Linked DNA regions of Danio rerio. The protein of the gene in region 2 interacts with the protein of the main gene of each other region in a pairwise test. Links are inferred from orthologs where the notes say so. Each region holds a gene or a part of one and is shown on either strand. Other genes may lie near its edges.

Region 1 (4,122 bases), on a different chromosome or scaffold from region 2:
AACAAAAATTGGGGAAAAAATAAATAGGGGGTCTAAAAACTCAGGGGGGTTAATAATTATATATATATATATAACATGCATGTTCTCCCCATGTTCACGATGGTTTCCTCCGGGTGCTCCGGTTTTTCCAACAGTCCAAAGACATACGCTATAGATGAATTGGGTAGGCTAAGCTTTCCGTAGTGTATGTGTGTGAATAAGTGTGTATGGATGTTTCAAAGAGATGGCTTGCAGCTGGAAGGGCATCCATTGCATAAAACATATGCTGGATAAGTAGGCAGTTCATTCTGCTGTGGTGACCCCTGATTAATAAAGGGACTAAGCCGAAAAGAAAAAGAATGAATGAATCATTTTTTAAATATATTTTCTTAATTTTTAAATGATAAATGATTTTTCAATTTTTAAATGAATTCAAATTTTCACATTATAGAATTTTTACTTTTTTATATTTTAATAATTATAATTCATTATTACAGATTATTCTACTATATTGTACATGACTTTTAACAAACTAAAAAATCCTATCCTTTGCCACATTTACATTTTTCTTTTTATTAAATATTTTGTATTTTTATCTATTATTAAAGTATATAAACAATGAAATTAAAATACATATTTTATTTTAAAAAATTACAAATTACTATATATACAGTTGAAGTCAGAATTTTTAGCCCCCTGTTTATTTTTTCCCCTAATTTCTGTTTAATGGAGAGAAGAATTATTTTATCTTTGCCATGACGATAGTAAATAATATTTGACAAGATCATTTTCAAGACACTTCTATACAGCTTAAAGTGACATTTAAAGGCTTAACTAGGTTAATTAGGTTAACTAGGCGGGTTGGGGTAATTAGGCAAGTTATTGTAAAATAATGGTTTGTTTTCAAAGGGGGGTTAATAATTCTGACTTCAACTGTGTTTATACAAAACATTGCAAATGACTCAAAATCTATAACGAACTATATTAGATTACACATTACCAAATTATATTGAAGGTTCAATCGAAGGCCTTAAACACATAACTAACATGTCTCTTTGTGACATATTAAAAGCAATGTCATCTTGTCTACACAAATACCTTCTTCTTTAGTTTTTGTTTTCCAGCAATGCACTGTACTCCAAAGCCCCTGTGTGTGTGTGTGTGTGTGTGTGTGTGTGTGTGTGTGCATGTGTGTGTGTGTCTCCAGGCCACCACAAGCCTCCTCTAATCCCCAGGACTTCAGCACATGAGGGGAGGGAGGTTTTTGGGCTCCATTATCAAAGACAGAGTGAGGAGTGGCTAAGATGAGCCTTATATAAAAACCTCATATGTTTATCACCCCCAGATCTGTTGCTTTCTCATTCACGGCCCTTCCTGCATCGCTCCCTCACATCCTCAGTGACTTCCACAGCGTTCCTGACCTGCGTTTCTGGCTAACGGAGAGCTTGTGCCACACACTCACCTCTGAACACTTCCAGCTGGAGAACGGCTCAACATGCCTGAGCCCACGAAGAAAGGTGAGCAGCCAGTCTGATGGAAAACTGTGGCACAAGGAGCAGGAGAATGCGTGTTAGGATGCTGTTTATCACCATTACTAACAAACATGCTGATAACAAACTAGCCACGCTGTGTTGTGGTTCTAATCTGATCAGTCTGTGGATGTCAGTCTAAATATGACTCTCACCATATACGCTACTAACAAGCATTTCACTATATATACATACATACAAAACAAAAGAAAGCGAGAGAGAATTAGAGCTGAGCGTTTATGCAGGGACTTCTGAGTCTAATTAGGTAAATTATCAAGATAAGCAAAATCTACAAATGAATATGTTTATGATCAATAAAATAATATCATAAAAATCATCAGTTTATGTGTTATAAAAAGATAACTATAATAAAACAAATTAAACTGATTGTGTTACTTAAAATAAACATGGACTGAAATGAAGTAGAATATACCTATTTTATTGTATCCTTTTTTATTTCTATTATTTAATATGTTTTTATTTAGATATACTTGATTTGTATGGTAAATTGCAGGAAATTTATTTCATACATTTTTATTATGATTATTTTTATATTATATAAATTTTTGGTTTATAAAATACCCTAAAATATAAAAATACAATTTTTGCATATATTATATTCATTCACTCTACTTCGGATTAGTGCCTGTATTTATCAGGAGTCACCACAGCGGAACGAACCTCCATATATTATATTATATTATTTTAAATTATATTATATTTTGTAATATCATATTTTGTAATATTATATTATATTATATTATATTATTTTACATTGCATTATATTATATTATATTATATCATATTATATTATATTATATTATTTTACATTATATTATATTATATTATATTATATTATATTATATTATATTATATTATATTATATTATATTATATTATATTATATTATATTATATTATATTTTTTTACATTATATTATATTATATTATATTATATTATATTATATTATATTATAATATATTATTTTACATTACATTGCATTATATTATATTATATTATAATAAAAAATGAATAAAAATAAATAAATGCTGGAATTCTTGCAAATTCAAATTACAAACAGCTGTGCTTGCTATTATGTACACAATAATTTGATGCAGATAACATGTTGTGAAATATAGTGTCTATCAGTTATAACAGAAGTAGATGCAGCTTTTCTGCAGTCATGAGAAGGGCAAACTGAGCAAAGCAGACATACAAAGCTCTGGGATGATCAGAAAGATTTTACATTGTGCTGGACGATGAGCTGATTTAAACTACTTTATAAAAAGCAACTATTGTCATGACTGTTGCTATGATGGATGGCACACAGTCAAGGCGATTGGGGATTGAAAGTATGGAATGGTGCTGATTTACCCGCTGCTGGGTTTCAAGTCCTAGAGCCGGGCTTTACTGCGCTGCCAGAGGCATTTCTGATGGATGATGCAATGCCCATGACCTGGTGGAGACGCTACGCCTTCACATAGACACATACTTCAGGGGTGATGATACAGAGATCAGCTTCCATGCCTAATGGAGAGATGAATAGATGGAGAAATGTAAGGATGCAGCATTGTGCTTGCTGTTGGACTGAGTTTTGTTGTTGATATTATTGTAGATAATACTGCATTTATGGGATGATGCTATAGGCAAGATCATAGTTTATTCAGACATTGGTCAGTTATTGAGAATTAGTTTTCTTAATTTCTCTTTTTTTGGGTTGGTGGAAAGAAAATTTGCATTTAAGCATTTATCCGCTTGTTAAGTGTGACGTCACACAAAGCGGCTTCCGGGTCCAATAAAACTGTACGGGGAGACTCATCAAATGATAATGATAGACACTTACAAAGCGATGTAATACTTTCAAAAATCATATATATTGCATATATTTTGGTATTTGTGATGCAGCAAGCCCAGAGAATTAAATTTACACTATGAGTTTATACAAAATTCACTTTAATGTGTGATATGACTAAAAAGTGGTCATAAACAAATATTTTCTCAATTGGGTAGTGGCTTGGACCCAGAAACAGGATTCCAAATGTCACGATACGTCACAACTTAACAAGAGGATTCTATTCATTTTTCAAGTATGCGTCTAATTATTTCAGTTGCAATACATATCTTTAGAGGCGTAAGGCTTTAAAAGTTTTAAGAAATATTTTTTAATAGTACATGGGGACATTTTTTTCTGCTTGTATTGAATATTTTCACATTTATGGAGTGATAAAAATAGGGTTATTTATAAATTTTTAAATCTGACTAAACTAAAACTAAAACATTTTGTTGCTGACTATAATTTATTTATTTCTAAAAATAGGTTTGTATAGGTATGACAAGATAATCACATTTAAAATATTCAACTAAAGTTAAAATCAACCCTGAAATTAAAAATTTTAAAAAAGTTTTAATATAGATTATTTAAACTTAAAAATGTTTAAAAAATTAAAATTTGTAACATGACTTTACATTTCTGTTCTGGAACTGAAAGCAAATTATCACACTTAACTAGATAATGCATAATTTGTACATTTAAGAAACAATATGGTCATTGCATAACTATACTGACAACAACACAATTGTCCTAGAGCCATATACACAAACAGCTTACTAACAGC
Region 2 (4,206 bases):
AAAAAACATAATAATTTTGATACATGAAAACTAAAGAATCCGAAATGCCTGATATTCCATGATTTGTACAAAAAAATCAATTGTAATGACCGGAATAGACCTTTTGAAAAGCATGATCTGTGGGAACCCTGTCATTGTTCGCTTGCCAGTACTGATTCCAACTCAAACCAACAGTTTTCAACAGGCGTTTTAACAGATTCTATTGCTATCAGAAAAAACAGATCTGTTCTCTGAGTCATTTCCATTAACATTCATATGTACTGTAGACTGCACAAAATAAATACTTGTGATCCGATTAAGAAAATTGCATCTCAATACCAGGAGGAAACAGGACTATCATGGCCAAAGTATACAAGTTTAAAACATTTAGATCTCATTTACACCTGGATTTATTGTCGATGTTGGGTCAAATTCAACCATTGGAATAAAAAGTGTAATTTAAATTTAATTAAAAATAATAATCCAATGTTGGGTTTGTCCATATTTGACCCAACATTGGGTTACAACTTACTGGAATATACTCTGATTAACTGTTTTTTAATTTGCAGTTGCAAAGTTACTATACATTCACTTGTATATTGTAGACATTCAAAAGTCCTGCAGTGTTTGAGTTCAGACTCGAGTCCTTTCATGGAAATCATTTATAGATTTCACTCAGCTCTGCATAATTAATTATCTCTAGTCATTCGTATGTTTTGATTTAGTCATTCAAATTCATGAGCCACTACAAGAATCCTACAGCTGGTTCCAAATCAAGCATAGTTTTCCTCATACATCACAATCTTTAGGAATAAGTTGAGAAATAAGAAAAGCTCCACACTCTGTTGTATTATAAACATGGTTTGGCGTAGATGGAGAAACGGCTGTTTTATAGAGTCAAACTGAGTATCAAAGGCATCTGAGGACAGTTGCACTTTAGTGTCCTCCAAAAAGCCCTCAGAGAAGCAATTTAAGAAGCTTTTACTGTCTTCTTTTCTCTGCTTTCTAATTTTTATTGCAATGATTGTTTAATCAGACAAGCCAATAGCAACACAAAGTTTACTTGGCAAAGTAAGGACTGATAAACAAAGTTGTTCTAGGTGTGGTGCCATGTACTTTTACTAATCCATTGCAGAATGAACACAAGCTTCTCCAATATGAAGATCAGATTCCTTTATTCTGCTCTCTGATGTCACAAGCCAAGAATTCAGATGAATTTAGTTCTCTCCGGCTCCCTCCCCTTCACTTATCTTTTGCAGCACAGCCTAACATGGAGTGGGCAGCTGATGCTTTGGGTGGGATTACTGGGTTTGTGAGGACAGGCCATGATGGGTGTGGTAGGCAACTGGGGGGCAGGTTTTAAAAGGCAGCTGGGGAAGTACTGTATATATGACAAATACTTTCAAAAGAAGAGTGGAGTTCTCCTGTAACTCTTTGGCTATACTTGGTATCCTGTATCAATCCATCCTTCCATCTCTTTCACTTCTGCAAGGCTTTCTGTTTTTCCAGATAGCAGACATGAGCTACTACAGGCACTCAGGTAAAGATGCACAGCGTGACGATTGATGGATCAGCCAGTGGATTCTCTTGGCACTTGCATTTGTTTTTTAATCAGGCATATTGTATTTGGTTTAGCTGAGATCCAAAGACTGATCAGTAGGATTGTTCTAAAATAATTTCTATTATTTAGCTGTAAAGCATAGCATTTGTCAAAAGAGGCAGTAAAGGTATTTGTAATCACATTTCTGTCTCAACTAAACGATAAATTTAGTTTTTCATGAAAATAGTAAAAAGTAAAACCATTTTTATTTGTATATTATTGAGAAATGCACAAAATCAACATGTCAGAAGGCTGCTTAAAGAATCAGCTTTGGAAATAAATGACATTTTTATATCTATAAAATATTCCAAAAAAATATAAGATTTAAAAACTGTATCAGAATTTCTGTTTTTAACAAATAAATGCAGCCAGTGTAAGTATATGTTAGGATTTAGTTAACAGAAAGGGCTTTCTAATATACCCTGATGCAAATTGTACTTTATAAAAGAGGTGTCATTGTTTTATTTTATTTTTGAGAGGATTAGGCATTGTAATTCCAGTATAGATGAATACCAATCTTATTTGAGAGCTTGTGCAAAATAGATAATAAAGTAGATGCTATGTTAATCACAGGCAGGCAAGCACATCTTTGTCTGTATAGTCACTATAATGCTGAGTTTGGGTATATTTGTATGTGATCTCAATCTTGTCAGGCATGGGCTGGTAGAAGATTTTGATGGTATGATAGATAAAAAATATCATAGTATTTTGATTACTGCTCCAAAACATGTTCTTTTTTTAAATGTCAGGGGGGAAAAACAACAACCCCCTCTAAACACAATATATATTTTATTTGAAGAAACATTTATAATATTTTGGAACAGTAAACATTTCAGGCTGAATAACTGCAATAAATCGTTGGCTTCTGCTGTCTTCATTAGTTTCAAAACCAGATTTCTTTACAACTTGAAAAGGCGTCCCTGGAAATCTTTCTTTTCTTTGCATATAAATTAAGCCACTGCACTGTTCAGGTCTATAGCATGCTTGGCTGTAGGTGTACGAGAGATTTGCTTTAAAATTTTTCCTGAATCGCGTGCTGACCAGCTTTTGATGTGGAGGGTTCTTTTCTGCTGGAAATACTGTTGCACTAAAAAAACTAATAGTCGTAAAACACACACACACACACACACACAAAACAACGTACATTTACTGCCAGCCTGATCTCACGACAAAATGTAACTATTTTACGTTTTGTCAGTTTAGTGGCTAATTTGTTTGAAATTGTACAACTTCAGTCGAATGAAAATGTACAATTTTAAAAAGGAGGCATGGCACCCAAGCCACCCCCACCCCCGCCGCACCCCTAAACCCAACCGTCATTGGGAGATGAGCAAATCATACTAATTTGTACGAATGAGATGTACAAATTCATACGAATTAGCCACTAAATAAAAAAAAGTTATGAATTGCCACAAGATTGTGTTGATACTGTTGGAATGGTACAACAGAAAATTTTAGCAGTTTTAAAAATGACGTCCAAACCACGGTAAACCTTAAAACTGGTTATTGTCCCATGTGTAATCTTGTCCAAATATCAATTGAGCTAATTCCTTAATTCTGCATCATTTCCCCTCTTATTTGGCCTGCATTTGCTACTGTCAAATATAGCCATCTCAATCAATGTTTGCTTTAACGTGGACATGCTCTCTTCGGTTTCTGTTCTCCGTATGGCTGAATTTGATCTCGCGGTGACCTTTCAAAACAGCATTTGCTCTTCGCTTTGGGACAAAGAGGTCCGTTTGATAACACTGACAGAGCTGGCTAAAAATGAACAGCTGATGGACGCTCTCCCAAAAGGCTTAGGGGATTGAGCATGCTGGTCAGGTCAGGATGATTATTTAGTTTACAGAAGCCACAACACCGCTCCTGTATAGAGGAGAATTCAGCTAAAAAAAACGAACTGAGCTCAGACATATTTGGTATAGTGTAGCAGGTATAGCAGTGGACAACACGGTGGCCAAGTGGGTAGCACTGCCACCTCACAGCAAAAAGGTCGCTGGTTCAAGTCCCAGCTGGGTCAGTTGGCATCTTTGTGTGGAGATTGCAAGTTCTCTCCATGTTCGCTTGGGTTTCCTTCAGGTCATGAGGTATAGGTGAATTTAATAAACAAAATTTGTATGTGTTTAAATGAGTGTGTATGAGTGTTTCCCAGTACTGGATTGCAGCTGGAAGGCCATCCACTGTGTAAAACATATGCTGGATAAGATGGAGGTAGATTCCGCTGTGGCGACTCCTGATGAATAAAGGGACTAAGGTGAAGGATAATGAACAAATTATTAAATATAAAGGAACTATGCATATAAATGTTTACTCCATCTAAGATCGTCAGCATGAAAGAACATTAGAGGAAAGTTTTAGCTGAAAATGTGATTCATATAATGCAAGTCAATGGCTACCAGCACTTTAAAAGAGTAAATAAAATCACATGCAGGTAAGAGGAAACAAATACCTGTGATTGATGATCATACATTGAGGTAAAGTGATGTGAAACTGAACTCTAGTTTCGATATATCTTTCATAAAGACTCAAATACTCTTGAGTAGGACAGTCTGGAGCGTCTTAACGCATAATAACATACGGAGAAGCCGAACTCAAATAGGATGAGGCTGTATGTTTATGATGGAGAG

What was found. The genes of interacting proteins can lie anywhere in the genome.
Region 1: the proteins of fhl1a (region 2) and mybpc1 interact in a two-hybrid assay, tested with the Homo sapiens proteins (2 studies listed by BioGRID and IntAct). The link is inferred for Danio rerio from reciprocal best matches to the Homo sapiens genes FHL1 and MYBPC1.

Annotation. Positions count from the first base shown.
Region 1 is NC_133179.1:18,380,281-18,384,402, reverse strand, and holds the start of mybpc1 (myosin-binding protein C, slow-type), read left to right. Parts: upstream 1-1,322; 5' UTR 1,323-1,474; coding exon 1,475-1,496; exon of another isoform or gene 1,497-1,520; intron 1,521-2,881; exon of another isoform or gene 2,882-3,034; intron 3,035-4,122. UniProt on the Homo sapiens protein: Thick filament-associated protein located in the crossbridge region of vertebrate striated muscle a bands. Slow skeletal protein that binds to both myosin and actin.
Region 2 is NC_133189.1:36,177,068-36,181,273, forward strand, and holds the start of fhl1a (four and a half LIM domains protein 1a), read left to right. Parts: upstream 1-1,397; 5' UTR 1,398-1,497; coding exon 1,498-1,519; intron 1,520-4,206.